Linked DNA regions of Mytilus edulis. The protein of the gene in region 1 interacts with the protein of each later gene in a pairwise test. Links are inferred from orthologs where the notes say so. Each region holds a gene or a part of one and is shown on either strand. Other genes may lie near its edges.

Region 1 (16,163 bases):
TATATAAACACATGGCAATCATTCACATTTTCTAAAAGTCTTTCTTCTGATAATACATAACCCTTAAATAAATTATATCTTTTCAGCATGGTCAATATCAAGGATTTCCAAGACTTAAGAGTTGTATTAAGATGATTTAGCACCATTCAGTAAATGCTGACTTTGATTACAATTATGACCTTAAACTCCGACATTATTTACCTTGTAGTTGTAAAAACTTTTCCTCCAACATTAAGTGTTATCCATTCAGTACATGGTGTGGATCCAGAAGACACATTCCTAGTGTGACCTTTGACTGATGTTTTGTCATCATTGTCGTGAACAGGAGGTACTGCTGTGGGTTTCAATGGAGCTGTAAATACACAAACATTGACTAGTACATCTGTATACTACACAGTTGCAGATCCACGGGACCCTGCCCCCTCCCCCTCCATAAATCCGTCTCTGCTACATGTATGATCATATATGTAAAATAATTTCATATTAATTTCTGATCACATGATACAAATTTAATCATTTAAAAGAGATATAATTTTCAGAAATATGAATTTTAAATAGCTTTAAAAGTCTGTAGTCCCAACTAAAAGAAAGTAATATATACCATATGCAGAAATTTAACAGTAATTATAACATTTTACCTGATTAATTACTTATTGAATACATATTCCATACCCTGCTTTTGAAAGAGAGAAATTGAGACTTTCTGATTGATCATAAATTTTTCAGTGTTTGAAATTATCTCCAACAACATGTACAAGTTTGGTGGTGTAACATTTGAAATTTGCAAATTTCTTAGGAGTATGGAAACCCTTTCTCTCTACCTTTCCTGTAGTCTTTGTTAAAACGTATTTGAATTAAAATCAGCTTTTTTATCAACCTTCATTGCATAGACATTTTGTTTGAACCTGCCCTTTTCATAAAAGAGACAGGAATCAATTACATATTTCTTGGCATGACAAACTATATTTGAATAAGATGATACCTTAATTGTTAAATTACATATTGAATGTTAAATTTAAAAAAAAACTTACATCTAAATGGCTCTCCTTCAGATACATAATAGATATCATCATCCCTGAAATATATATAATTTATTTATATAATAATTTCATAACAGCATTTTAGTTTATATTGCATTTTTTTCACAAAATAGAATTAGAACATGTATATGTGCTTTTAGATGTTTATTTTTACCATTTTGAACTTTTCAATATTTAAATAATTGCTACAAAACATATATGTTTTTTAAGTTACATTTAGAAATTAAAGTTGTTCATGAAATGAGAATTTGCACCTTACATCAATTCGTATACATGTCTAATAAAAATCTTACAAAATTGAAGATTTAAATTAAACTGTTGAAGATATCATATAATCAAATTGCTTGAAAGCACTGAATGGTAAAGATTTCTTCAATTTATCACTGTGAAATCGAAGTTAAATTAAATATTGCATTGGTTTCTGTTGATTTAACAGCTATTCTAGACAAAGGAAGATACATGTAACTCCAATTTTTAAAGATGAGATTAACAATTCACATGTTTTTTTTTTAGAAGAGATATTAGATTCCTACACCTTGCAAAAGTTATGTAATTTTCTTGACAAGTGAAACATAATTTTCGTGCCTTGAATATCTGAGCATATACATTGTATTACATTGAAAAAATTCTGGAAATGTTCATGGATAGTATGTTTAGAATGTTATGATCAATGCACTATATTGTATGTATCAAAAAAGGTAGTGATAAGCCTTGGAACATTTAGATATCAAGTCAGTCCCATATGGTTTTGATTGCATTTCATGCAATCTTTACCTAAAAATTAAGCTACCTACATTTTACATTAAAAAAAATACATAGTTGAACTACACACAAAGGCAGTTGGATCCTACCACATATTTTCAAAATGATTTAGTCCATATTTGGTTGCTCCTATTTGGTCCTGTAGTTGAAAGGAGAAGATTTTAGAAAAGATATAAATGGTCGCAAAATGGTGATCAGAATACATATAGTTCAAAAAGTCATGGACCTGTCAGACAATAGAACTCAAAAGAGGATTTTAATAGACAATTTAATAAGGGACTTACAGATTACAATTTTTTGGAGTGGAGTATTTATCAATTTGTGGTTTTACATTTTTCGTATCATCTTTAATTGGACCAGTTGTTTTCTATAATATCTTGTTACCTAGAAGTAATTTTAGTGTTATTTATAACATTACCGGTACCTTATTAATGAAGCATCATCTAAAACAGCTCCTAAAGGATTGTACAAAACTTTTGCATTGATATCTAGCTTCTTAACAGCATCTGCAAGTACACTGTCCAACTTTCCAGCATCAGAAACAGAAACTATCTAAAAAAAGACCAAAATTGGGACATCTACATCTTCATTCCAATGATGTTACAATTCAATGATCTTCATACAAGTACAACATTAATAAACTGCCTAAATTTAGAATGTAAAACACAAAATATTACCATCATTTTGACCATTGTGCAACAACGTGTCTGAATATCTTTTTAAATAAATTTAGTACAAAGAACTTGCAAACAAGACCCACAATTTAAATTATAACATGTATGGGCTTTGTTCATTGTTGAAGGCTGTACAGTGACCTATAGTTGTTAATGTCTGTGTCATTTTAGTCTTTTGTGGATAGTTGTCTCATTGGCAATCATACCACATCTTCTTTTTTTATATAAGTGTTAAATCAGGTAAATTGTACTTTTATTGAGTGAAAACAACATGTATAGATCTCCAATTTATAGTCTTTAGCAGTAATATATTTCATGAATATTGAGAAGTTGAGTTTTCAGGTAATAATCTAACAGTTCATAACTTCTTTTTATTTTATTTGATTTTTTGGAAACTAGTGTATCCCTTTTGGTGGGCCTAGAAACCTATCAACAAGTTGAAGCAATTTTTGTTGAATATTCTAACAAGACTTTTACCAAGGATCAATTCTGGAAAAAAATGCATAACAAACATTTCAAAAATTTACTGACCACAATTCAAACATAGTTTTACTTTCAATATAAAAATAAAAAGATGTGGTATGATGGCCAATAAGACATATCAGATCAACTGAAATATTCTTGCTCCAAAACAAGCCATAAAATTTAAAACCTTTATATATATATTCATGAATTTCAAGAATTTATAAAATATAAATATCTGAACAAGTTTATTAACATGATTAATAAATAAAAGTAGGCAGAACTAATTCAGGGCTTATGGACTCGGGCCTAGGTATAACATGTAATCAGGGAAAACCTATCCTACAAATGTATACCCACAAATTTAGTGCTTTCAAAGATTTTATGCCAAAATTGGGTCTCAAACTTTCGACAAAAAATCTCTCTTAAAGTGTTTAGACAGATAAAAGGGCTCCAGACTTATAAAGTGATAGGAAGGGGTCATTGATTTTTTTTTTATCATAGACGTCTTATTTGGAAGTTAGATGAAGTCAAGGATCATTTTCTCAACTGTTTTTTGTTCGTTTTTGTTCTAATTGAGATTGTGACATGGTGATGACTGCTGTACCCATATTTTGACAATTTTAACTTATTGTCTGTTTTGTTCGCTCATCGTTGTAAATATAATTGCAATTTGATAAGACTGTTTTATCCAGCTATGTTGATAATAAGTCACCTAAGGACATTTTTTTCTTATTTTTTCTGTAGACTTAGCTTTAATTTTTTATTAACATGTATTGTCAAGCTTGGTAACTCATAATTGTTTCTCAGGAACTCAGTGTACGATGCTGTCCCATACTGAACCTACATGTATAGCTACTGACCTTGTTTTTTTACATTCAAATTCCAATGGCATCAAAATCATGTGATGTATTAAATTGTTCTACCCAATCAAATTGCTCTATTTGTCAAGTATTAGCCGCTGTACATTTACTAAGTAACTAACGTCACTAACGTTACCTATTGTTTACGTTGCCTATTGTTTACGTAACGTTGCCTTGAACATAACTTGAATACAATTTGATATGAACACAACGCCTTTCATTACTAACCCTAAAGCGAAGTACTAACCACAAGAAACACGATACACGATATTGGTGCCGTGACCCATGGAGAAATTAAAAGCAATTCGTGGTGGTCACCGTAGTGCAGTTACAAGATTAATTAATAGAACGAAGGAAAGAATTTCGCAAGAAGATATTGGACATGAAGAACTTTCGGCTGCCGCAGACAACCTTACAAAGAAGAGGAACCTGCTTGAATCTTTAGACTCACAGATCTTAGATGGAACTGAATTAGAAGACATGGAACAAGAAATTCTTGACGCGGACGATTATGCAATGAATATGGAAGTCGCCATTCGCCGATTCAAGGACATAGTTTCTTGAAACAAATTTTTTGAAAACAACCCCATTTCAGCAAACGGTGAGTGAAACAACTTATGTTCCAATAGCCAATACACTTGATTCATCAAATTTTCCGTCAACAAATATTGCTAATCATAATTCAAACCATTCAGAAAATGTATTTTCCGTAGATAACAACTCGGTTTATACGAATGCAAACCCAACAACAGCAACAAACTTCTATCACAAGCTACCGAAGCTTGATCTACCAAACTTTACGGGAGACATATTAACATGGCAGACATTTTGGGAATCGTTTGAGACAACCATTCATCACAATCCCTCTTTGACAAATATACAAAAGTTCAGCTATCTCAAATCTCAGGTACACAGTGAAGCCGCACAATGCATATCCGGTTTATCTCTATCAAACGCCAACTATGAACACGCAACTATATTGTTAAAGGAGAGGTATGGACAGACACAAACCATTATAAACGCATACATGCAGAATCTACTTGAACTTACGCATCCGTCACTTACGCCGCACAGCATAAGAGTATTTTACGATAAAATGGAATCGTGCATAAGGGGATTAGAGTCGCTCGGACAATCGCAAAACACATTCGGATCACTTTTAGTACCAATCATATTTGGAAAGTTGCCCGACGAAATGAAAAAACTCATGACCAGAGAACACGGAAAACGGAATTGGGATATAAGGTCCCTTAGAGAAGCAATCGGCAAAGAGATGTACGTACAATAAATTGGTAATTCAGATAAATTAGACAGTTTCACACCCACAGCGTCATTTCACACAACAGTTGAACCCAAAATCACTGCAAGACCTCAATATGTAATAAATCAGTTCAAACCCAAAACCTGTATTTATTGCAAACAATCGCATTCGTCAGTCGAATGTACCAGTGTTGTAGACAGAGAGAGCCGCTTAGCTATCATTGAACAGAAAAAAGTATGTTACAGTTGCTTTGGAAGTCATAAAGTTTCAGAATGCCGCTCGCGTTTTAGATGTAGAAAATGTGATAACAAGCACCACACTAGTCTTTGTGACAGTAATAAGAATCAAGAAAAGGAAAGCGTAAGTACAGCAAAATCTTTACCGCAAAATAACATAGTGAGTACAGTAGAGAGCGAAAATGATGCATTAACATGTTACACGTCAACATTGAACATTAAACCAAGGACAGACGTTTTATTAAAGACAGCCATTTCACCAGTTTGGGTAGATGACAGGTCAGCTACCGCTAATATTCTTTTAGATGAAGGATCTCAGAAGTCGTTTATTAGCATGGAATTAGCCGCTGAATTGCAATTAAAACCGAATGGAACCTCGACAGTTAGCCTAGCAGCATTTGGAAATGAAAACAGAAATATACGCAATTTGGACATTGCCGTAATAGATTTACAAACTCAGAATGGGAAGAAAATACCAATGGAAGTATTTATTGTCCCTAATATCGCAGCCCCGTTACACAATCGCATGCCATACAATGCTGCTAAACTGCCTTACCGCAGTGGACTTACATTAGCGCACCCTGTTAGCGACATGGATAAATTCAGGATTTCATTTTTAATAGGTTCGGATTACTACTGGGATATCGTAGAAGACACAGTTATCCGAGGACCAGGCCCGACCGTAGTAGAATCAAAACTCGGATACCTACTTTCTGGACCAATGAAAGACTCAGCTGGACCCATATCCTCATCTTTCATGTTACAACACAAGACAGAAGAAGTCTATTTGAAACGTTTTGGGAAAATCGAATCAATGGGAGAAGTATCTGACAATTCAATGAAATTTAACAAAGACTATTTTGAGACGTATCATTCAAAAAGCAACACAATGAAGAACAATGGTAGGATTCACACATTTAGCAGGGAACCAGGAATGATGAAAATCCACGGAGACAGAGCACCGAGTAAAACTGAAGCCAAGCTAAAGATTCAAACATGGACTTAATACTTTCATGACAATATACTTACTGGTATCAAGTGCGCCGAAATTTTGTTAATGATCATAGTGAATAGACAGTTTAAGTTAAAATTAACAATTTCTATTTATTTACATGGACTTTAAATAGTTAATTATCATTTCACACTTTGTATGTTAATTTCTTTTTCATAATTTTAGATTAATTTTCACTTTTCGGCGCCCCCAGTAACAAGTATTAGCCGCTGTACATTTACTAAGTAATTAACGTCACTAACGTTACCTATTGTTTACGTTGCCTATTGTTTACGTAACGTTGCCTTGAACATAACTTGAATACAATTTGATATGAACACAACGCCTTTCATTACTAACCCTAAAGCGAAGTACTAACCACAAGAAACACGATACACGATACTATTGTCAATTAGGTGATTTTTAAGTCTACAGCAATTATATTTTTTGTTTGTGGGATATTGCTTTAAAATAGTTTGCAATAATTTGGGGTTTTATTCAACAGGAAACCTCATTTTTTGCCATCCCTTAGAACAATCAATGAAATTTTGTATGAATATTTACCTACAGTCATGATGGTCAGAATATCGATCTTTTAATAATTTATTTTTTTTCTATGAAAATAAATGTAAATTGTGAATTATTAACCTACTCTATCATGTCTATATTCCTGCACAAAAAAATGGCATGGACATTGTTTTTTTCAAATAGTTTTCCTTTCATTTTGGATGGTCTTTTTTCACGGGAAAATCATGAAAGAGGTAAGGAGCTTGTCATTTTGAACTTCATAAAAATACGATTTGCTTGACCTGTATTGCCTGCCAAAAGATTGATGACGCTGAATGGAATGTATACAAAGCAATGGAGGCCAGAAGTGGGATTTTGAAAAGTTCTTGAATGTTTTCAGACATTCGGAAGTCGGGATTGAAACGGCCGTTAGAAAATTGGCATGTTTGAGCAATAATTGAGAATAACCATGAAAACTTACCTTTGGACATGTTTTTTTATTCTACATTATTAAAAGAGTAGAAAAAACGTATCCTGCACTAATTTTCTATGCTGGAAGTAGTGTAGTTTCCCCGTGTCTTAAATTCAAACACAAATATCGAACAAATAAACAAGATGACCAATTTTAGACTACGGTAGGATACAAGTGAGCAGGTGAGAGGTTTCAATCCACCATTTTCTACATTTGAAAATGCCTGTACCAAGTCAGGAATATGAACTTTTATCATTTGGTTTTGACATTTGATTAAGGACTTTCCGTTTTGGATTTTCCTCGGAGTTCAGTATAATTTTTTTGTGATTTTACTTTTTTAACAGCAAAAAATTAAAAACAGGCGTTTGTCGGCTATTTTAAGCTTCGAATAAAAGTATACCTTTCCATCTGTAGAACTTCCGTTGCGAAATATAAGAAATCTTTTCATTTCACCGTTTCAGAAGTGGATATTCATTTTATAAAACCAAACACTTTCGACTGTCAACTTTATTTATAGATTCAATCGCATGTGTAATTGAAAAATACTATCGACTGGGATCCTGATTCGTAAAAACATAAGCATACCCAAGCCCAAACAGATAAAAAGATAAGAAACCAGTTCACAAATGTTCACAAATGTATGTCGCTTAAATCATGTAAAAAATCAAATTATTTCTTGTTGCCCCGATCTCAAAAGTATATATAATGAGTAAACACCTGATTATTGAGATTGAAATAACAGTTATTATACGAGACCTTTTTTTTTAATCGTAATAGTGCGAATTCATAAGAACATTTAAAACTGGTTATGATATACAGTACTGGAATTTGATGCGTCTGTCATACAAGTGAGAGGTTTAGCTAGCTATAAAATCAGCCATTTTCTACATAAAGAAAAGCCTGTACCAAGTCATGAATATGACTAACATTATCCATTCGTTTGAGCCATTGATTTTGCCATTGGATTAGGGACTTTCCGTTTTGAATTTTCCTCGGAGATCAGTATTTTTTGTCAAGAACACACGGAGTCGAAATTAGAAAGCCAAGGATCAGACGAAATTTATATCATTGTCAGTTTCTTGGTAAAACTGTTTACTGATGTATACTCCACATGTTTTTACTATTGAATAATGATTTTAAAAAACCTTACAGATTTATAATTTACATAAAGTTTTGCCGCAGTGTAGGTATTTGTATACCATTAAAACAGAAAGCGCTGATACTAATAGATTATCGTTGGTTATCTCAACGAGATTGATTTTCACGCTTGAGCCGGTCACGGCGAAATCGAGAAAAGCAATCGAGTTGAGGTAGCAAAACACAGTTAGGAGTTTAGTTTCGCATTTTAGCCATGGTGGATTTTTCAAATAAAGTTATTGTGTAATAAAATTCATTTTTAGACATTTTCTAATGGGTTTATCAAATTTGCATACTTCATAAACATCCGTTAGATTGACCATTACCATTAATTAACAAAACAAAAATCTACCTGACAAACCTCAACCATCTACACCGAATCACGAAAACAATTGCATGACCTTATGCATTGTAACGCTTCTTTTATGATGTTTTCCGTTGAAATTTCACCCAGTGCCTATCACTTAATTGGCACTCAACGGTAGTTTACAAAAACAAAAACAAAAAAACACAAAAAAACACAAAAAAACGTGACGCTCTAAGGGTTAAACTTATGGACCAAATGACAGAATAAAGTCGATAAAATGGAATTGCCGTTATAATTCCTTACAAGTGTTTATAAACCTTACGTAACGAAAAGACAAAATCCGGCATACACAAAACACTACATAAGAAAAAAAATAAAGACCAAGTAACTCAAACTCCATTAAATAATATGATTTTCTGCCATGATGAGCAGATACAGACTTTTATCTATACAGATTAATAGAATGTCACCTGACGCATTTTGATTTATTTGAAAATTTACATGTTAAAAGTTGAATTTGGATAATAAATTATATATTAATAATTTAATTTTGGATGTAAGCTTTGCGTCTTCTGATTGGCTGACGTTGTTTTGTTTATCAGCTCATAGACATGATTTTGTCATGTACCGTACAAATGGAACACATATACATTGACAGTGTGACGTCATTAACGTTTTTTCATGGTTTACGCTGGATTAGAATTGAATTTTAGAATTAAATTATAAGAAATGACTGTAATATTCGTTCTGTCTATTTGAAATAACATAAAAAAAAATGTGTTGCACACTTTAAAACAACCCGCGTAGCACCAGTGTGCACCACATTTTTATGTTATTTCTTCATAGACAGAAAACATATTACAGTCATTCCTTAATTACCGTCAGTGTTTATTTCATTTTCATTTTACCACTTTTAAGTTTTAACTTTATTACATTTGGCATCCATCACCAATTGGTTATTATGCTAATATAGCTGTGATACGCATCCATGAATCCCCAGCAGCATTGTACCGGCTAAACTTGCAATGAAAATTTGGATAAACTTAAAAAGGAAATTTAAAAAATGTCAAAATCGATAACAAAAAGTAAAATCATAAAAATCGAACTGAATACTGAGGAAAATTTAAAACGGAAAGTTCCTAATCAAATGGCAAAATCAAAATCTAAAACACATCAAACGAATGGATAACAACTGTCATACTCCTGACTAGGTACAGGGATTTTCTTATGTAGAAAACCTGATTTTATAGCTAGATAAACCTCTCACTTGTATGACAGTCGCATCAAATTCCATTATATTGACAACGATGTCGATGTGTGAACAAAACAAACAGACATAATATTTATAGGTAAAAACGTCAAAAATATGGATGCACTCAACATTGTTTTATAATCTTAATCACTTTAAAAACAAACAAATATGTAAGAAAGAAGCACAAACAGGCACAAAGCACATTAGCAAAAAAGAAAGACAAGAATACAAAAAATTAAAATAGCACAATTACACAATGACGGGATGTACAAGTAAAAAGCCAAGTATAAAAAAAACAAAAAAACAAAAAACACAAAAGTCATATAGACAGAGCACATTAGCAAAAATGAAAGACAAGAATACAAAAATTATCATATAATAATAATACATTGACGGGATATATAAGTACACAGTCACGTCGAATGACTACCACCAAAACAGACTAAACAGTAAAAGTAAGTCTAGAATACAATTTAGATTATAATAAGAGAAGTGCGACTTCAATCATATAGTCCCGAAGACACCAAAAGGATTGATGCCCGCGACACTTGGGTCTTGCCAAAAATCACCTTACTTCCAATGAGCACGGACAAATTTAATTTCGAAAATATATGTATTCAAAAGACCAGAACAAGATAAAGTTCTTGATATTTTTCATTTAATTGTTTTCCCCATAAAAAGAGGAAACAAATGTTTAAGTTTTACAAATATGTATTTCTTACTTACAAAACTAGTATATTTACGATTGGCGAATTTATTTTTCTTATTAATTTTTCATACGTCGTTGAAATTATGATTTTTTTTATTCATAAAGGACAAGGTACGATAAGGCCCAATTTTGCCCCCCCCCCCCTATTTTCTCATTTTGTACATTTCGTTTTGAAAATCTACTTATCACGTTTAAATATTCCCTTAGAATTGAAGTTTGTTTGAATGAACTTCAAAACCATTAATTTCAGAAATGGGGAAGGTTAGGGGGTAAAAGGACATCAAAAACGTTAAAAGAAGGGAAAATAACGAGTTTTGGCCATTGCTTCTTAAAATCGAATAGCGTGCGTCTACGTGACCCGGAAAAAATTATGGCGATTTAGACAGCAAAAACAGTTCTCATGACATTGTAATGAAAAAAATCTGGGTCACGTTGGTGCAGGCACTCAAAAATAAAAAAATGTTATAAAATCACCTACAGAAAGGATAATAATTACAATATTTAAATAATAACAGAAAGTCAACCCCCTCACCTCACCCAGTTGCGAAGATTAGTGGTTTTGAAGTTCATCCAAACAAACATCAAACATCAGGGATGGTTTTAACATAAAAAGTAGCTTTCCAAAACAGAATTCGAAAAATGAGAAAACAGGGGGGCAAAAACAGGCTTATCGTACCTTGTCCTTTGCTGATTATTCGTTTCTAATTTGATATAGAGGCATCGGAGACGGGTAAGAAATCAATTTCTCCAGGTCCATCTCAACACGATTTCAAAAGTGAGTGGTCATTTTTGTTTTGATAACGACCACATCACCATATGATTGTGTCATTTTTTTTAATTATTTTTTTTATTTCGACAATTGTCATGATAGAGGGATTACCCATGTTCTAGACTATGAGTATATTTTATATAGTTTTTGTTTGCTTGTCACTTTAAGCAGCAAACTATAAATTGTAAGATATACTGTTTCCAGCTTCAAGACACTGATACAGTTAAAAATAATAAAGGAATGCTAAGGTGAACGCAAATTACCTACTTTATTGTAGAGTAAGTTTAAAAACCGGTATGGATATTTTTGTGTGTTAAATCTTTTTATTTATGCAATCGTATTACGTCTTACGATGTCGTACAAGTCTGCTACTAAAACAAATAAGAAAAGAAAAGGACTGGTAGCAAGCAACCAATCCTTATATGTTATACTTTTTAAACGTCAGTTCTCTTTAATGACGAATTTATTGGATGGATTACACAAAACCCATTAAAAATGTTATTGTTGTGCAATTCATCTTCGCTGTCCCGACTTCCTGATAAGAAAATCAGTGTGAACATAAAATTAGAAAAAAAAGTGTTTCGCTTCGCTCCACTTGATGGTGGTTTTACAATTTCCTAAAATAACGCACAGTTGTTTGTTGTTGTTTTTGGGCAAATGATTGTAATGAAATTTATTTCATGGTTATCACTTAAAACTAAACAGTACACGAAACAATATAAACAAATAAAGACAGAGCAAAGCATCAAGGCAATATTTAACTGCAGAACATGGTGATGTATTTCGTGCTAGTAATTAAAATATCGTTGAATGCTGTATTCCAAAGCAAAATTGTAACTGTTTGAAGATGGCTAAAAGGATGGGTTTTTTGAAGATGGCTAAAAGGATTGGTTTTGAATGGGTTTTATAGATTTGTATGTGTATTTCTCTGTACTGAATGTTCTTGCCTTCATTTGTACTGTTGTAGTCCTGTCATGTAATATTGTCATTTAAGTGTTATATTTAACATTGCCACAAATGCGCGAGGTTTTGGTTAGTTGATGTGCTTCCCTCGGTTTTAGTCTGTAACCCGGATTTGTTTTCTCTTAATCGATTTATGAATTTCGAACAGCGGTATACTACTGTTGCCTTTATTTGGCAATATCCGAGTACAAAAACCTTTTAATAAACAACCAAACATCTTTCAAAAGAAAGCTATATACTAATTTTCTGATACAAACTTATGCATTTGTGTTCTAGACACTCTTTGTTGCGAAATTAAAAAAAATTTCTACATTTTCATTTAAAAAGGTACAATTTGATGTAAACACACAAAGTATGGGAGACGGCTTGAATTAAGTAAACTCAATTAATTGTCTTTTGCTTTTCATATAACTATTATCTTTGAGACCCAACTGGTGTTTATCTTGTATTTTGGTTATTATTCCATGTTAAAGTTAGAATAAATTCAAAATTGTGAATACAAATTGTTACATCATCGTAGGCCTTCAAGCTTCTGTAATAGATTGTATGAGCTTTTGACTTTTTAAATTATTTGTAATTTATAAGAAACTTTATCACATCAGCCATCAGACTCCCTGGAGTGGTACAGTAACTATAAAAGTATATGTTACACTAGAATCTATTCAAAATAGACATTCAACTGAAACAATTTTGAGAATGTGAGTATTTTCTGTATATTGTATCTGCTGCATACATTTTATGTTATTTACGAAATAGAACAAACGATTAAGGACGCATTTAACATGTTAAAAACAACTGAACATATACCTTGTACTTGTGTCTCAGTTTCTGAACATATCAGACAATTATTGTCTTCTGAGTTTTATTTTACTAGAGCAATATTTCCTATAGTATTTCTTCCGAGTCAAAAAACGGGTTTCAGTGTGAAGCAGAAAATGATCCCTGGTTCTCTTTCATTTTTATTTATTCATAAAAAGAGCAATCATCTACACAGACACGTAAGGGTGAGTACAATCACTATTGTAGTGTCAGTTGTCAATCAACCATTCCATTTGTTTTCAGATCTAAACTGAATTAGGAATAACAGATATGAGGATCCTTTTGGTTTGCTTCTTGTTCGATAAGTTTAATGAAAATACGGCATAAACGTAAATTAAACAGCTTATTGATAGAAGAGGTCAAATGTTGTGAGTATTTCGATCTATGGAATATAACTAATGTTGTCAACACAATTACCTCAAGTACTGATTGAAACTATTAAAATGGTTATAACCAAATTTTGATAAGATCATGTATGCTCTTCAACTTGGTAAAGTATTTGGTCTTTTTAGCTGTCTGATTCGAGCGATACTGATGTGTATCGATTATATAATCAAAAACGTTAACTCTTCTTTAGCTTTACTAAAAAGAATAAAGAAATATTTAAATTACAAAGCTAGACAAATGTACTATAACGCTTACGTTTTACCTCACTTAGATTATTGTTGTTCAATATGGGGAAACTGTAATAACTTTCTATTAGATAATTTACTAAAACTACAAAAAAGGGCAGCAAAAATAATTTTAGACGCACATGATTACACCAAACCTTCAAGAGAATTATTTCACGAATGTAACATGGTCACAAATCATTACTCATGTATAAGACAAAACATGGCTTAGCTCCAGAATATATGTCCAGTCTTATTGTATCAGCTTCTTCAAACTAAAAATATAATACGAGATTTTCATCCTCAGATAATTTTATAATTCCAAAACCAAATACAGAGTTGTATAAGTCTAGCTTCTCGTACACTGGACCAAAAGTGTGGAATGCTCTTCCTAATGCAATCAAAAAATCAAATACAGTATCAGAATTTACACACAAATACACATCTATGTACTTTTAACATTACCATCATATTTGTACTGTAATACCATATCAGAATTGTTTATTGCATTTTAAATTGTATTTAATCTTTATTTATCATTATTATTGATGCATTGCATATTTTTAATGTAATTTTTATTGTATTAAGAGAGCCTTATTGAAAATTGGTGTAATCCAAATGAGTTACTCTCTCTAAATAAATATATTATTATTATTACAAGTGTGGACACAGATGAGTGTGGATAGTATGTATGGATGTTTGACAGTGTCTTCTGACAAAAGGAGTTCTATGTTTTTCCTATATGGTGTTATTTATTAAATTTTTTATGCCCCCACCTACAATAGTAGATAGGCATTATGTTTTCTGGTCTGTGGGTCCGTTCGTTCGTTTGTCCCGCTTTAGGTGAAAGTTTTTGGTCAAGGTAGTTTTTGATGAAGCTGAAGTCCAATCAACTCGAAACTTAGTACATATGTTCATTATGATATGATCTTTCTAATTTTAAAGCCAAATTAGACTTTTGACCCCAATTTCACGGTCCATTGAACATAGAAAATGGAAGTGGGAGTTTCAGGTTAAAGTTTTTGGTCAAAGTAGTTTTTGATGAAGCTGAATTCCAATCAACTTGAAACTTACTACACTTGTTGCATATGATATGATCTTTCTAATTTCAAAACTCATAACTGCTCCAAAAGTAATCTGATAGAATTTCAAGCATTTTAAGCCAATATTATCAACATCTACTAATGAGTCTTAATATGTCTACATATCTAAAAAGTCATAGTATTCAAAAGGTAATGCAAAATTATTCCTTTTCATTTTTTTTTGTTATATGGATACACATTTGAGTGATACAATATTTGTTGTGGTATGAAAGTGCAGTAATTAGCATTTACTGTAACTATGTTAATTCACACAAATTGAAAAATAAACAAATGAATGGACCAGATGCTCCGCAGAGCCCAGCTTTATACGACTGCAGAGGTCAAAGCCTGAACAGTTGGGGCTAGTATTGACACAACATTCAAGCTGGAAACAGCTCTGAGTTTGAATTGTGATTAAATAGATGACACAGCTTAGGTTTCTGACACAGAATGAATGTGGTCTAATGAACTTAAATATTTGTTTTGCTTTTGTGTTAGGAGCAATTCACTATGCTGCTGAATATTAATCCTTTCAAACAAAAATATCTAAAGAAATTTTCTTTTTAATTTCTGAAATGAGAAACATTTAGAGGAGACAAACTTCAGTTAAGAGATCAGAAACTAAAAAAATGTATAATTTTTCCATTTGTAAAAGGGCATACCCTAGAAAGTGCTTGCAATCACTGAATGGTTATTAATGACTGCTTTAATTTATCAGTTGGTAATAAAGTGAATATTGCATTGTATATTGTATAATTGATTTAAGTTGACTGAACAAAGAAAGATAACTCCAATTTTCAAAGAAGATTTCATAAAGCATTGGTATTAGGTAATTCAAGAACCATTCTGGACAAACTCCAATTAAGGGTCTTGAATTTACAAAAATGTTTGTTTTTGGTCCGTAATTATTAGACTGTTTGTCCATAACCCACACAATATATCCGAACCTTCTACTTATGGTATTAAACATTGTGGTACAATTTCAGAACAATTGAAATACTTATACACAACTTTTTAAACCGACACTAGATTAAAGCTTGTTTTGGGCACCTTTATACCCCTTATTCCTAAACCTTAGGGACCATAACCCCCAAAATCAATCCCAAGCTTCCTTTTGTGGTTATAAACGTTGTGTTATAATTTTGTTGATTTCTGTTGACTTATAATAAAGTTATTATCCAGAAACCATCTTTCGGACAGGATACCAATTTACGACCCCAAATTTTTTGTGGTTGTATAAAAATGT
Region 2 (15,658 bases), on another chromosome or scaffold:
CTTCCCCACTCTCTTACTCTCAACTCTACTTTTATATCCACTGTGATTCACCCACCACTACTCTCACATCCTCTCTCATTCACCCACCACTACTCTCATATCAACTGTCATTCATCCACCACTACTCTCATATCCACTCTCATTCACCACATCCCCTTTCCCAGTGAATTACCTTGTGTACCTCACCATCCCAGATATGAGCTTTTGACCCGTTCGGGTGTAAGCATAGACAATTCAAATGGATGTGACAGTATAGAAGTTCTACTCCCTCGGAGCTGTGGATACCACAGTCCATTGGGGACAACTCCACTGCCTAGCATTATCTGGGAAAGGTTGGTATCCTTACCTTCAGTTATTTTTTTTTTTATCATTACCTTACCTTCAGTTATACTTCATTGGGTGAGAGCACACAATCATTACTTTAAAACAGACACTCTATTGTAAATAAATATTAATAACAAGTTTAGCAGTGTTTTAACATTTTAAATATTGCAATTAAATTGCAATGGAGAATTTATTTCATTTTATTTTCGTCTTCATTTCACGTGTTGCGTTTTCTATTATATTGATTGTTCTTTTAGCTATATTATTTCCCGTATTTTGTATTATTTAAAAATATCTAACTGGATTAAATAAAGGGTGGTAACTACGATCTCCTTCTATATACATATAACTCTACAACATATCAAATATATATAGCATCTAGCATATTAGTTTGGTATATAAAATGAATTCCCTTGTAAATAGTGAAGTGTTGAAATGTCAACATAAGGCTAGCTGACATTTTATTTAACTGATAGTACTAGTATTGGGATTTTTAAAATGGATTTTACAAGGGAATCTTGCTTTTAAAATCTCCCTCGGTTGATTGATTGATTGTTGGTTGCTTAACGCCCCCCCTCGGTTGACTTGCAGGGCTATTGTTTTTTTTCGCGAACCCTTTTATTTAGTTTTAACGCTAGCAATCAAATTTTGTGATTAGAATATTTCCCCCTCCCCCACACACACACACACTTTAAGTTAAATGATCGTTCCTTCATTGTTTAATAATTCTATACATCTTCTCTTTACCATCAATATATGGCGTATTATATCACTACATATCTTTTATCTTTATACATGCACAAAGTAACGGAAACAGCGCGGGATGTTATTAATTATTTTTAATCTTTAAGTTACTATAAAAAAAAAAAAAAAAAAAAAAAAGTGCCTAACAAGATTTTGTGAGGTAGACGAAATTGACTTTAAAACGATCGTATTGACTTTTGATGTGCAGAAATAGGCAGATCGGACATATTTTGACTTTAGTTACTTACTTCTTAAGTTTGGGATTAATTGTAATCAACATATTCCAATGAGACTGAAAAATGCTTTTTTTTTATTATGATAAATAATAATTTTACCTGCCGTAGTCGTGCGTAAAATATATTTCGGTATTTCTCTTACGAAAATGACTTGTTTAATGGAACAAAACGTATTATTTGTAAACTTTCTCTTTACTCTTCACAATAGGCTTTTAAAAAATAACCTTTCCAACTGTATATTCCGAAAATTTTGTGAAAATCGAATAAGTGGCAATTCTTACCTTTCATACCTTAACTTTCATTGATAAAACATAATATTGACTCGTCCAGTGTCCAGTTTGAAGGTCATTTTAGTTACCGGTCACATTCATGCACGTTCTAATTAATCAATAGTCATGTATGAAAAGCATAAACAAGTTTGAAGGTAAACTAATAACAACTTAATCCAATCAAATTGCCTACGATTCAATAACAATGACCAGTCCACATCATAAAAATGTATAGGGGTAAACTGGGTAGGGAGAAAATGTCAGATATATTAAGTTCATTATTTTGCAATAACGAGTAAAAGTTTGTTAACCAATAGATTTGTTATAATTTCATAATCATGTCGTTATGTATTGGTATAGTTTTTTGATCTTTCATTAGCGTATTTAAGGCTGTAGAAAGTTTGGCCTTCAAAAGTCAACATAATCATTGACTTTATAAAGAAAATTCGCCTTTTTAAAACATTGAATGTTTCACAAATAATACGCGACAACAAAGCAAAATCATTTCTTAAAACACTGCAAAAAAAATAATTCTGATTGATGCAGTGGTATTGTCATAAATTGCACTGGAGTGAACAGTGGTACATCAAACGTCGCGAATTCCCTCACACAATGTTATCACACACTATAACGGTATTTAAATAGGAGCAAAATTGCTCAGATTACTTCAGTCGATCACCCTACATTTGTGCATTGAACAATATAGTGTGTTATTCCATAATTAGGGAGCAACAATTTATCTTTTAGGGGGAGGGTTTCTTTATTTGTTTGAGTCATAAAAAAAATAAATTTATTTTTTCAACGCCATCAATCAAATTAAGTTTTTTTGGGGGAAAAAAATGTGGATTTAAAATTTATTTTGCATCGCATAGGGGATCACAATATGATCTTTTGGGTAAAAATATAACACCCCTGCTCCCCCTTAGAGTTAGTTGGTCGTTCCTTGATCTATGGATATGATTCCAGGAAGGTTTCGAGCCGTTTTTACATTTATTTCCCAAGTTGATCCGATACCGTGACCTGCTAGTTTGGATGGTGTACTGAAACTTTCAGTGTAATCCTTCAAAATAATGACTATGTTATGATACTCCATACAAAGGTCTGAATGCAGGGGTCTTTCTGTTCTTCATTCTTACTTTTGTAGACGGACCCAATATCTCTTCCTTATCTATATCCCGCATCATCTCTAGACTCTACATATTTTCGGGAAAAAAATCTTTTTTTCATAATTTATCACCCTTTTATTATTTTTGCCCGTTAATCTTTATTCTGTCAACCCAATCCAGACTCTCCACTATTGATGCTGCTTTTGGTACCCTTTAATATGTCATTATGGTACTTAAAAGGTCCTTTACATGTAAGATTTATCAATTCAAATTTTTTAAAAGTTATCAAATTTTAGTTTTTGGAATTTTGATCAAAGTTTCAGAGTTTCAGAATTTCAAACTTCCAATTTATAAAAGTTATATGCAGACAAAAGATTGAAAGAGATGGGAAAGAAAGGCAGGATCATTATCAAATCATCTGATACAAATGTCATTGTTCTATATATTCATTTGTTCAAGCAGATGACCAACACGAGTGAATTTTGGATCCAAATGGGAAATATTGGTACTATAAAAGATAATAGAAGGTTTTTGCCAATTCACCAACTGTGTTCTTCTCTCCCTGAAATCATTTGTAGAGTTTTTCCTGCCGTACATGCTCTCTCTGGGTGTGACACTACATCTTCCTTTGTTTGTGGCAAGACTTTACGACCAAAAGAAGAAATATGCACCCTGCCATCAGGACATTAGCAAACTGCGAGTTAAGCTTGCTATAAGCAAGGATTCAAGTCTGGTCAGATTGCCACCTTCTGAAGCAAAGCTTCGACAGCATATCCTTCGTGCATCATTTCAGACCAAAATTTGGCATGCTTCCTGTCTTGCAAAACCACTCCTGCCTTCACCATTGGAGTACGGATGGAAATCATTCAAAGATTCATTGCATCCTGTCTACTTTGAAGGAAATATGTCAGCAGATTTTCTTCATGACCTCGTGTGTTCGTGTAAGGGAAAATCACAATGTAAAAAGTCGTGTGTTTGTGTCGACCAAAACCTTGCATGTATCGACTTATGTTCCTGCCAAGGATCAAAATCATGCAAGAACGTTCATACACATGCCCTTACAGAAGAGGTTTGAGACTAAATTGTATTTGCCAGTAAGGCTTTTGGTACGATTTGCAAATTGAATATGCATTTCTGATATTGTATCACTGAGACCTTTATTACAAATCTAAAGTTTTCACACAGTTAAATGCAGTTTCTTGTGTTCCTTGTAATGCATGGTATAACATACACAAAGTTTTTAAGCCCACATATCAGTCTGTGTTTAGAGAGTTTATTGTCAATTTGGCGTGTACCAACCCTACCCTTAGTGTACAACACTTAATTGTTTAACTTAATATTGGGTAATAAAAGATATTTATCTTAAATCAGACATGTGTTTTCGTATTTTGTATTCAATTATTATGGTTTTGATGCTTGTAATAATGATTGTTTCGAAAAAATACTTCTTTTGAAGTTAAAAATCACCCCCCCCCCCCCCCTTTTTTTTTTTTTTTAAATGTTTCACTTTATCGATACAGTTTATTTTAGGAGTTTTTTTTAATTTTTTGGATGAAAAATTGAATGAAAAAACAGAATCCATGCTATTTTGCTAAAAAAAATATGCGATAAGGTAATTTAGTTGTTATCTATAAATATCCATTGCAATTATGTATGAAAAATGGTGCCTTTGATCTCGATTTCTGAAAAACTGCACCATATTTAGTTTTGACGACCAAACTAATTTTAAAGTACATATATTGTCGAATCGAATGATATATGAAACAGCCGTATATCATTTTTGACGATTAAATTTTTAAAATGTTCACTCTGGTCATCGTACTACTTGTAAGATTTATCAATTCAAATTTTTTAAAAGTTATCAAACTTTAGTTTTTGGAATTTTGAGAGTTTCAGAATTTCAAACTTCAAATTTATAAAAGTTTAGAAATTTAGAAATTTTTACCAAATAATTAAAATTTTAAAATTCAAAATATGATAATCGTTTAATTTTAGATTTGATAGTTTAAATATTTTGGCCGTACACCAATGCTGCTCAAAAACCAGCTAAATTTTAAGTAAAGCATTTTACCTACAGAAAGCTGACAATTTTCAAATATTTAAAAGTCAAGTAAATATAAGAAGAGGTGTTTCAAAATTGGTTAAAAGGAAAGTTAAAATATCAAATTTCATCTAAGATATACGAAGATGTAATATAAGTGCTAATGAGACAACTGCCTATCTAAATCAAAATTTGTAACAATAAACTAGTATATGTAAAAGTACGGTCTCTGAACAACTCAGAGCTTTGCCTCACACCGAAAAGGGCTACTTATCCTGCAGAAGTTGGAACTTAAGTTTATTTGTAAAAACGACCTATATAATGATTGATTGTTGGTTGTCAGTGGCAAATAAATCAGGGGGATATCTGAGCCAGATTTTTTTATTCAATTTTTAACACAATGAGGTAAGAGGAAAATTTGAAGTTAAAATATTTTATTTGTCATGCATTTGCTTGATCAGATTATCTTTTTCTAAATTTAATTGGGTATCAGAATATTCTTTTAGAAGTAAGACCCCCCCCCTTTTTTTTTTTTATTAAAGTTAAAAAAAAAAGTGGTCGTTTCCGTAACACATGTTAATATCTTACTACATCAGTTACTGAATACTATAGGAAATAGCACAATGTGTTCTGCATGAGGATTGAATAATTATAAATCCCACATCTTTGTAGGCCAAGGTTTAAAAGTTGTTCTCTCGTCTGAGTTTCTCGTGTCGTGGCTATCATTTATCTTGACGTATTATTGATTTTAGTTCAATTTAGGTGCCATACAATTGTAACGCACAAATGTTTTGTTATTTTACAATACATATTTCCGAATGAACAAAATCCGTTTTTCAATATAGCTTTTACTTTAACATGTGAATTTTTATGCGATATAATAAATAAATAATCCACCGAGAATGTTCTTGGGATGGTAAATTTCCAAAAATACTCTCTTTATTATACTTATCAAGGGATGTTACTCCTTCCCAGGTTAAAAGCCATCATGGTGTTATATGCTTTTAACCCCAAAAGGTCTAACATAAACTTAGCAAGTGTCTGGAGTGTCCATGAATCTGACACAATACAGTAATTAAACACTGAATAAACCTGTCAATGGTTTTATAGCTCTATTAAGAATTATTACTGTATGCATGGTTATATATTTAGTTACCAGTTAAATAAAGTGGAATTTCCGTTTTTCTAAAATCATTTTACAGAGTACTGCATCTTTTAATCTTGTGTTACACATCTGTAATGTCTTACGCTGTTCATTTTCAGTTTGAAACTTATCATATTAACCTGAATATATAAGTTTATTTTTCCAAAGTCATACGATGTTGTTGAGATCAGTTTCGTTGCTTTTGTTTCTTCTGTGGCCACTTGTTTCACTTGTTATAATAATTTGAAAAAAATATGTCTAGGATGTGCACTTGTAATTGGAAGATGCTAATAAGACATGCAACCTGTAAGAACTCGATTTAAAACGCGTCCCTTTGTGCACCTGAAATTATACGTAAACTTAATAATTTAATTGTGTTTTGATCTATGACAAACCCTTTTAAAGATTGAGAGGTCAAACAGAAATACAGAAAATTGCCGTTCAAGCAGCTGGACGCTTTTCTGTTTTAAAAGTGAGGTTTTTTTTGCTGCTTGCACCTCGAATAAAGTTCCATAGAAATAAATTTTTGCCCCATAACACCCATTTATTTTTTCATATAAGACTTAATAAGACTTAATAGCTCATAAAAGGTCATGTACCAAAATCTTAGAAGATTCTTGTTTTTCTTTCTTTTGTTTTGAGACCCAAATGAACCAATGCAAATATAAGGTAAGAGTCCGAGTCAGCCTTTTCCCGCCATATTTAAAATCTCAAATATCTCAAAAAGGAGGTCCATGACCTATCAATATTTTTAGCTTATCTTGATCCTTAATTGATGCTCTACCAGCTTATAGTATCAATTTTAATTTCTTAATTTCTTAATTTTACCTAACCTCACCTAAGTACATCCTTACGAAGATTGATGGTGACCCGGCATAGTGATCATTACGAAATTCCAAGGTTTGATAACACTATGTTTTATGATTGTTTTATCATTAAAAAGTACACATTAATAGCAAAATTGATTGCCTTATATAATGCAGATTCTATAGCAAAAAAGTCATTCGGATCTCATCAAAAATTTTACGTTGTTGTTCTATCCTGTAGTCTGTATTTTTGGGGATATTGGTAAAACCAAATATTTTCAATTTAACGCTTCTTTTCTAGATCATTAAAACGCTTTCTCTTTGGAAAGTGAAAGTAGAAAAAGAAATCGAAAGTATGACTGACAACAAACACGAATTAGAAAAAAACCCAGAATTACCATTATCGAAAGAAGAATGCGTATACACAAAGTGTTATTGGTACTTTGCAACTATTTTTTATTCAAAGGGAAAAAATGTTTTCTTTCTGTTTGCCTTCTTACAATGTCTTTTTTGCAAAATAGTGGCAAGGAAAAGATTCTGCATTATCAAATTGCATAATTTTTGATAGAAATAATTCAGCATATCACAGTGCATTATACAAAAATACATGGACAATGGCCTTTCGTCCTCAAAAGCAATGTAGTTCACCTTTAATATAGCTATTTAGAAATCGGCGTTGGTCCACGATTTCCCGAGAAATACAAGAATAACGTGATAATTGATATCCCCAAAATAAACTGATATATCCTGAGAATAAGAATTAGATTTTTTATGGTGTTTTGCTTATGCTTCTTTTTATAGTGTTATACTACTTTTAACAATATTATACAAATATAGCCTTTGTATGAGGTCGATACAAGGATATATTGACCTGAAAGAAGTATATTGACTGAGGACGAAGTCCAAGGTCGATATACTTCTTTGGGTCGATATATCCTGTATTGACCTCATACAAAGGCTATATTTGTTATATTATTAATTTCCGACCATGTTTGTATCAAAATCGTCATTTAGGTTTGTTGGAACTTTATAGATATTAAATTGTCTCCTTGACAACAACAACATATATATTATACAATTATGGCCCGTTGAAAAGGTGAATATCCAAAATTGTCAACACAAGAAGGTTATTTCAATGAGGGCTCAGCCCGAAGTGAAATAACTTTTAAGGGTTGACAATTTTGGATATTCATCGATTTTAAGGGGCCACAATTGTTTTATTATACCGAACTAACAGTGGAAGGGCATATCAAACACTTACTATAGTGCCTATATTTCTAACATATAACACACAGACTGACGTTTGAAAATACATTTGTGTTCGAATTTCTCGAATTTACAACAAAAGTAGAATCTTTTTGTAAAATATTGATGGTCCTGACAAGGACCGTTTATAAGAGATATTATCGGCTGCTTGCACTCTCAGCTCTATTCATGCCCAATGCTTTATTTCCTCGTCTCTCCATGGGCTTCCAGTGTAAAGTGAACGCTGCCATTTTGTTTATTTACGTCTGTGACGTCATTTTCATGGGAGGTAACTCAAGTACAAATCAACAAACTCAAAAGGTTATTCACCGGTGAATAATATGCTTTTTGCCGGTCAAGATGCGTTTTGCTATCCGCCGTTTTCTCTCTACCTTTGAAAATATAGTTTAACATGTGACTATCCCTAAACGAATCAAATTTGTTAAAATATACGAATTAATAATATTAAAGAATATTAATTAAAAATATTACTCGTTTTTATTCAATAAAAGTGCAATTTCATTTCAAAAATTTGATTTGTATGTCTTGTATGCAAATTTCTCGTTGAAAACAATATTGCGGATATTCTAAAGGTAGACAACTTAAAAGTACTGAAAGAATAGATAAGTATCAAAAGTACTGATTAAAATTTATATAAAAAAGCTATTACAGTTATCATAACGTTAACTTCATTCGGGTATTTAAGGGGTGATCGAACGTTAGACTTAATTATTTGTTTTTAACTTTGACATGTTTGAGATACAATATATATTAATTTTTTATATAATAGTATATATATATATAAAAAATCTTTGTTTATCTGTGAAAAAAGAAGACAAAAATAACAGACAATTTCGCTTTATTTATAAACGGCGATCAACGACGTTACGTAATTGTAAAAGAAGGCCAATTTAACATTTTTTGGTATCATTTTCATTTGAGAAGAACTATGCTTAAAAAGTGGAAAGAAATCTATTACTGACCCTAATCATGCTAATGGCAAGTAAGAATGAGAAAAAAGAAAAATTTCCAAATTGGCGCCAAATTGTTTTTAACTATTACTAAAATAACATGTTTCCAAAATCTTAGGGATTATATTGTTTTCTTATGATATGATTAAATGCTGTTATATCTGTACAATTTTCCTCAAATATCTCCTTTTAAACTAAAGCTTGGTCATGTTGGTATTATCACAAATTGCCGAAATAAATTAAAAAAAACATTAAGATTGAATGGTTAGGTTTTTATCAAATAAGACCCAAAAAGTTGGTCAAACCAGTTAGGCAGCAACCATTTGATTTTCTGGGGGGGGGGCTATGGTTTTTTTTTCTGGACAAATTTTTTTTCCGCCTGCAGCGAAAAACAATCTATTTTTTTCGCGACAAGTCGAAAGCAATTTTTTTTCTTTCAATTTTAGCATTACATATAGTGGCAGCTGAGGGTGAAACAAACAATTTTTTTTTCTCAGAATCAAAAACAAATTATTTTTTTCTCCAAAAACTGGAAACAAACTTTTTTTTCCAAAAAAAACCATAGCCCCCCCCCCCCAGAAAATCAAATGGTTGCTGCCTTAAGTCTAAAAACGCATATTCAAACTGCATTATTTGAACTTTTTATTGTATTATGTAGTATATTGTGTATTGTATTTAGCTGTGGTGTAGATTATGTTGTTTATCAATTACCGGTCATAATCTGACACGTTAAATCACAATTATAAGGTAACAAACAAAAGATGTGAATTAATCCATAAATAACTTGATCAATCCAATATAGTCTGTGATGACAGTATTTAAAATCACATATAGTTTCTTTTTTTTTTTAGATATTTTCAGAGCAGTAAATATTTACTTTCATGTATATTTGAGGAATGCTCTTTCATAAAAACAAATAAACATTTCTTAAATAGTTTTAAATATTTTCACAAAATATAAGCTGACACAGTAGGACAGATCGAAAGGCACAGACATAGAGATAAAATAAAACAAAATATCAAAGTGGCTTGATACTTAAACAGGGACTTTCTATACTATAGACTATAGATAGTCCCTGACTTAAACAACTGAATGATGTCAAGAAATATAATGATTATAATTCAATAAATCTTAATTTATCTACATGTAGCTTAATGAGCTATTATATTTCTTAAACTGTAAAATGAATATATGCATTAACAAGTAAATATTTTAAGATCTCTCTCTTTAATTTTCAAACAATTGTATATACTGATCCTTTGTGTCTTTTTGTACTTTGACTTTCTGTCCGCCAACGTACATTTGTCAGCTAGGTCAATTTTTTATCCACCAAAAAATAGGTTTTCATGAGTTAATTTTTTTTTAGAAATATCTTATTAATTATGGATCAAACTTTAAGAATTTAAGTAGAATAAGAAAGAAATTAGGACTTTTCATCGGCCAGGTCATTGCCTATGTTCATTTGATGTTGGTCAGGTCACATAACCACAAGCTTTTAATACTTTTTCCTATATTGTTCTTATATTCATGATATTTATGTACGAATTGGTCTAATCTTATTATATTTCAAATTTGAGAGGAAAATTCTAATGAAATAAAAATAGTAATTAGAAATTTCATTTGGTCCTGTCATTGTTGAGGTTGGTCCTATCAGTCAGCGATGGTCATGTCACGTTTTCGCAAGTTTTTGAAAAAAAGTTTATTTTTTTTATGAAATTTATGTAATAAATGACAGATGAAATCTTATTTTATATCTCAAATTTGAGATAATTCCTTTGAAAAAAAAAAAAAAAGTTATTAGCATTTCTATCTGGTCCTGTCATTGTTGATGTCGGTTTTCATTCTCACATGTCAGTGTTGGTCAGGTCACGTTTTCTTAAGTTTGTAAAAAAAATATAATCTATTTTTTCTTCTTAAATCATTATATAAAATGATAAAATCTTATTATATTTCAAATTTTAGATAAATCCTTTGAGAAATGAAAAAGTTATTAGCATTTTTCATTTGGTCCTGTCATTCGATCCAGTCATTAGTGTAACAAGATAAAAGATATAAAAATCGATTTTCTGAAGATTGCGTGTACTTTAATTAATTATGAACGCCTTAAACCTTATTATTGTATGCTGTAACACTTATTTAAGCAGTATTACACCTATAACACCACAAAAAAATCGGGATTTTTCAGTTTGTTTTGGGGATATTACGTTTTTCTTGTATTTCTCGGGAAATCGTGGTACCCCCTGTGAATCTGCTCAGCTAAAACTTTTGACGTTGTTCAACAATCTCTTTTCCATTGTGAAGTCAAATTTTTTACAGGAAGCTTTATGGTGTCATTACTACACACCACAAACATGACAAAGGTTCCTGTAAAATTTTGACGTCACAATAGAAAAAAATCTGATTTATAGCAATAAGGTGTATGTTCTGTACATCAGCCAAAATAAAGATCCATTCCTAAACACAATGACTCTTTACATTTTCACATACTTGAACATGCTGAAAGGGATAAATACCTGTGTGTGACATTTCAATAAGACCTACATGTATTATGGCATAGTCATATGTAATGACTCAGGCAAACCGCACACTTAGCATGCTTAGTTTTCTTCAAGTAATCTTAATGACATTTCTATCTCAGCATGCTCAGTAAAGTGACAGGTATATACGTGATATATAATCTTTAGTCAGATCAACAATAGAATATATGTTAACTGCCATCCAAAAAACAGAAAAATACAACCAATTGAACAGTCCACAACATGTATGCGCTCGCATACCCAATTTATACCATCCTACAGAATACAAATATGCTATCAATCCTTTTGTCCACGTACAAGTAAAATGTGGAAAAACTTAGCATTGTGATAAGCAACTCTGTCACATCATTTTAAACAGCTGTCTCAACTTATAATGTTATTCTTATAGTTAGTAAATTTATCAAGTGTAAATTTACAATTAGCAGATAAGTTTTATGGTCTAAAAATTAAACAAAAATAGATAAAAATGAGTACATACATGTGCTCACTACAAGTGACATAAACTGCAATGTGTTGAAGGTGGTCAGTATAAAGTAAAAATAGATTGAAGAAAAAGGATAAATAGTATGAATAAAAATTTACACTTTTATGGACTTTTATATCAAAAAATTACTACAGGTACATTTTGTAAGATCTATTCAAAGTTGGTACATGTACGTGTACATGTAGTACAATGCAGTGATTACCTGTTATTTTATTTTTAACACAATTTATTATTCATGACAATACAATAGATACAGGAAGATGTGGTATGAGTGCCAATGAAACAACTCTCCATCCAAGTAACACTTTATAAAAGTAAACCATTAAAGGTCAAGGTATGGCCTTCACACAGAGCCTTGGCAAGCTATAAACGGCCCCAAAAATTACTAGTGTTAAACCATTCAGATGGGAAAACCTACGGTCTTATCTATATAAAAATGAAAAACAAAAAAACAAGTATGAACTACATCAACAGATGACAACTACTGTACATCAGATTCCTGACTTAGGACAGGTGCAAATAATTGCAGCGAGATTATATATTTTAATGGTACCAAACCTTCTTCCTTTTCTGAAACAATAGTATAACATCACAACATAGAAAGATACTTTATAAAATATCAATTGGAAGGCTTAACTCAATCAATTAATCTTTTTTTTAGTGAAGAAAATGTTTGGAAGGTTTGTGAATATGTGAAGAATCACCATCCTGCTGTACTAGATAACTGTTACTGTGTATTCATATCAAACAAAGACAAAGTGGTAGGTACTAAAATTGATTTAATGTTTAAAGAAAATAAATAATTTATATGTCAATGATCATGATGATCCCAAAATACAGTTTATAGTTTATCATGTTTATAGATAGAATTGAATTGCATGCACCTATAAAGAAAACTAAATAAAGTAAAAATCTGCTTTTAATACTGTTTAACTTTTCACAGAAAATTAAATTCCTTGCACAACCAATGTTCATATGTTGTAGAGAGCAGTAAACACTTCAGATACTAATATGTGTGAAGAACAGATTCAAATGAAAATTTATTAGTAATAATTATATAGTGCTATATATATAAGATATTAGTAGCTAACTTTTTTTAATGCTACATTTTTATTATTATTTTACAGATACCATTATGGCAGCAAAAGTCAAGTCAAAGAGAAGATACTCTTGTGATATGGGTAAGTTGGATATCACTTAGTACCGACATTTAAAAATTGTCTTTTTTTTAATTTAATTTCAATTTTATATCACCTTTAAGTTTCACATTTTTTTTTATCTTAATACCGATTTTTTGTAAAGGTTTAAAGGAATTTGCTGCTTCTCTGCTAAGCCCATAGCATAAGAAAGGAAGAAAGAGCTATGACTGGTCAACTCGAAGTCATAATATTTCTAGGTATATAAAAGTGACATATCTTCCTGCGAACTGTAACATTGTACACTAGCATGTTTAAAATCAGGCTCAAATTGTTGATTTTAATATATATGTACAGCACAAGGTTAATTTTTTATATCACAAAAAAGGTGTATAACCATGTTTTCATCCTGAATATGCATTAAATCTGCCACTGGACATTAAACAGCCATCTTATTGTCAACCACCAATAACCTTATTCACAGTGAATCACTTAACACTAACCAGAACATATGTCTGTTTTAAAATTGCACTTATTTTTCATTATTACTTCCCTTTGAATATAAGCTTTATAGATTGCAATTCTGTAAATATAGACAATGCAATTTCCCATAGGAACTACCTTTGCGGCTAAAACTGGGTCACTTTTACCATGAAAATTTGTGAAAAATAATCCCAGAACGGAAAGTTTATATGCACTACTGTTTTAATCATAGGTCAAAATACAGTGCTGTGTAGCATATTTTCAACATTTATATGCCCTGAACTTCTAAGAGTTTTAACATATATACTAAAATTCTATGCTACCTTTACCTCCATTTTTGGACCTCCTCAGAATTAAAATTTAGGCGCTACCATGTTTTTCTATACTGGTTACATTTACATTTGGTTTGAGAAACAGAGTGCAACCTATATATTGAATACTTTATTAAGAATGTCTTTATTTTTGTAGGATTATCATGTGATATTTATATATAAGCAGTCTGATAGATTGAATACTTTATTAAGAATGTCTTTATTTTTGTAGGATTACCATGTGATATTTATATATAAACAGTCTGAGAAAGAATCCTTTGTATATGACCTTGATACATCCTTACCCTTCCCATGTGACTTCAAAACATACTTTTTAGAGGGAATAAGATCTAATCAAACCTTACAACCACAATATCATAGGTATGTACAATATATGACAATTAGAATTAGTTGTCTTATTGACAATCATACCATATCACCTTTATATATATTCATATAATTTAATTTTGAATGTAACACATCCTCTGATTGGCTGACCTTGTTAATGTTTATCAGCTCATAGACATAATTTTGTCATATGAATGTGAAGTCATCAACGTTTTCATGGTTTACTCCAGCTTAAAATAGAATTTAGAATTAAATTATAAGAAATGACTGTAGTATTTTTTTTGTCTATGCAAAATAACATCATACCTGTCAACCTGTGACAATGAAAATGCAGGTCATGACCTGCATTGAAGAATCAAATCTCAGGTCATAACGCGTACGAACTTTTTCGAGCTGAATTTCAGTAATTATGGTACATTTTCTTATAATGTATATCAACGATACCAAACCATCAATGCATGTTCACTTGATTAAGTCATTTTAAATCCTATTAATTATTATTTCATTGCACTTTTAAAGATTTTTATATATTTGTGTAACACAGTCTTATGTTCTTTACTTTTTGTGATGATAGATCAATTTATTTTTCAAATGTAATTTTATAAGGTTTGCAACTACTGGCTATGTAGCCTTTAAACATACCATCATGCAAACCATAAGGAAATTAGACTATGATAAAATATAGTAATACAGTTAAAGGAAGTATAAATGTAAAAAATAATTTTCAACTTTTATTTTAAAATTGTATAAAGGTATAAAAATAATGAAAATTTATTTTTCAATATGGTATTTGAATTTTATATTTTCATGATTTAATCTTTTCACCCATAAAACGTAAATATAAGGAATAATTTTGAATTGTGACAAATAAGGGGAAGTAACTCTAATTGAAATATTTTTGTAAATTCTGAATAGTGCAATTAATTTACAACCTAAAGCTAAGGTAATTGGTGTTAATTAACAGTGTGTTTGACACCAAAGCTGTCAAGTGAAGCCATGCACTAAATGGGTCACTTCATTTGACAGTTTACATAGCTAGATGAACTTCCTGTTCATGGAAGAATTACGAATTTGCCGGTATTTCAAAGGAATATTACTTATGAAATCAATCTCAAGGCCAAGAAATACGGGTGAAATCGGGTCATTTTCGGAATTCCCGGGTTATTTCAATGACCCGGCGGGTGTCCCGGGTGATCCCTCAGAATTGTGAAAATCTCGGGTCACACCCGCAGAATCCGGGTCAGTTGACAGGTATGTAACATAAAAAATGCTGGTTATTCACTGTGCAGCACATTTTTTTTATGTTATTTCTTCATAGACAGAAAAAATATTACAGTCATTTCTTAAGTATTTTAGATTTAAGATTATGATCCAAAAGTATACAGTAGTTATACTCTGATTACTCTTCATACATACTGGAAACAATTTAAAAAAAGTTATGTTTAAAAACATTGAATAACAGCTATGTCTGTT

The links.
Region 2: the proteins of BTB/POZ domain-containing protein KCTD9-like (region 1) and protein N-terminal glutamine amidohydrolase-like interact in binary tests that used the Homo sapiens proteins (3 or more experiments, as listed by UniProt). The link is inferred for Mytilus edulis from reciprocal best matches to the Homo sapiens genes KCTD9 and NTAQ1.

What each region holds. Positions count from the first base shown.
Region 1 is NC_092347.1:21,892,202-21,908,364, reverse strand, and holds the start of BTB/POZ domain-containing protein KCTD9-like, read right to left. Parts: upstream 7,829-16,163; 5' UTR 7,717-7,828; coding exon 7,669-7,716; intron 2,355-7,668; coding exon 2,227-2,354; intron 1,076-2,226; coding exon 1,032-1,075; intron 353-1,031; coding exon 202-352; intron 1-201. UniProt on the Homo sapiens protein: Substrate-specific adapter of a BCR (BTB-CUL3-RBX1) E3 ubiquitin-protein ligase complex, which mediates the ubiquitination of target proteins, leading to their degradation by the proteasome.
Region 2 is NC_092349.1:65,631,823-65,647,480, reverse strand, and holds the start of protein N-terminal glutamine amidohydrolase-like, read left to right. Parts: upstream 1-6,987; 5' UTR 6,988-7,025; coding exon 7,026-7,108; intron 7,109-12,568; coding exon 12,569-12,668; intron 12,669-13,034; coding exon 13,035-13,088; intron 13,089-14,069; coding exon 14,070-14,218; intron 14,219-15,658. UniProt on the Homo sapiens protein: Mediates the side-chain deamidation of N-terminal glutamine residues to glutamate, an important step in N-end rule pathway of protein degradation.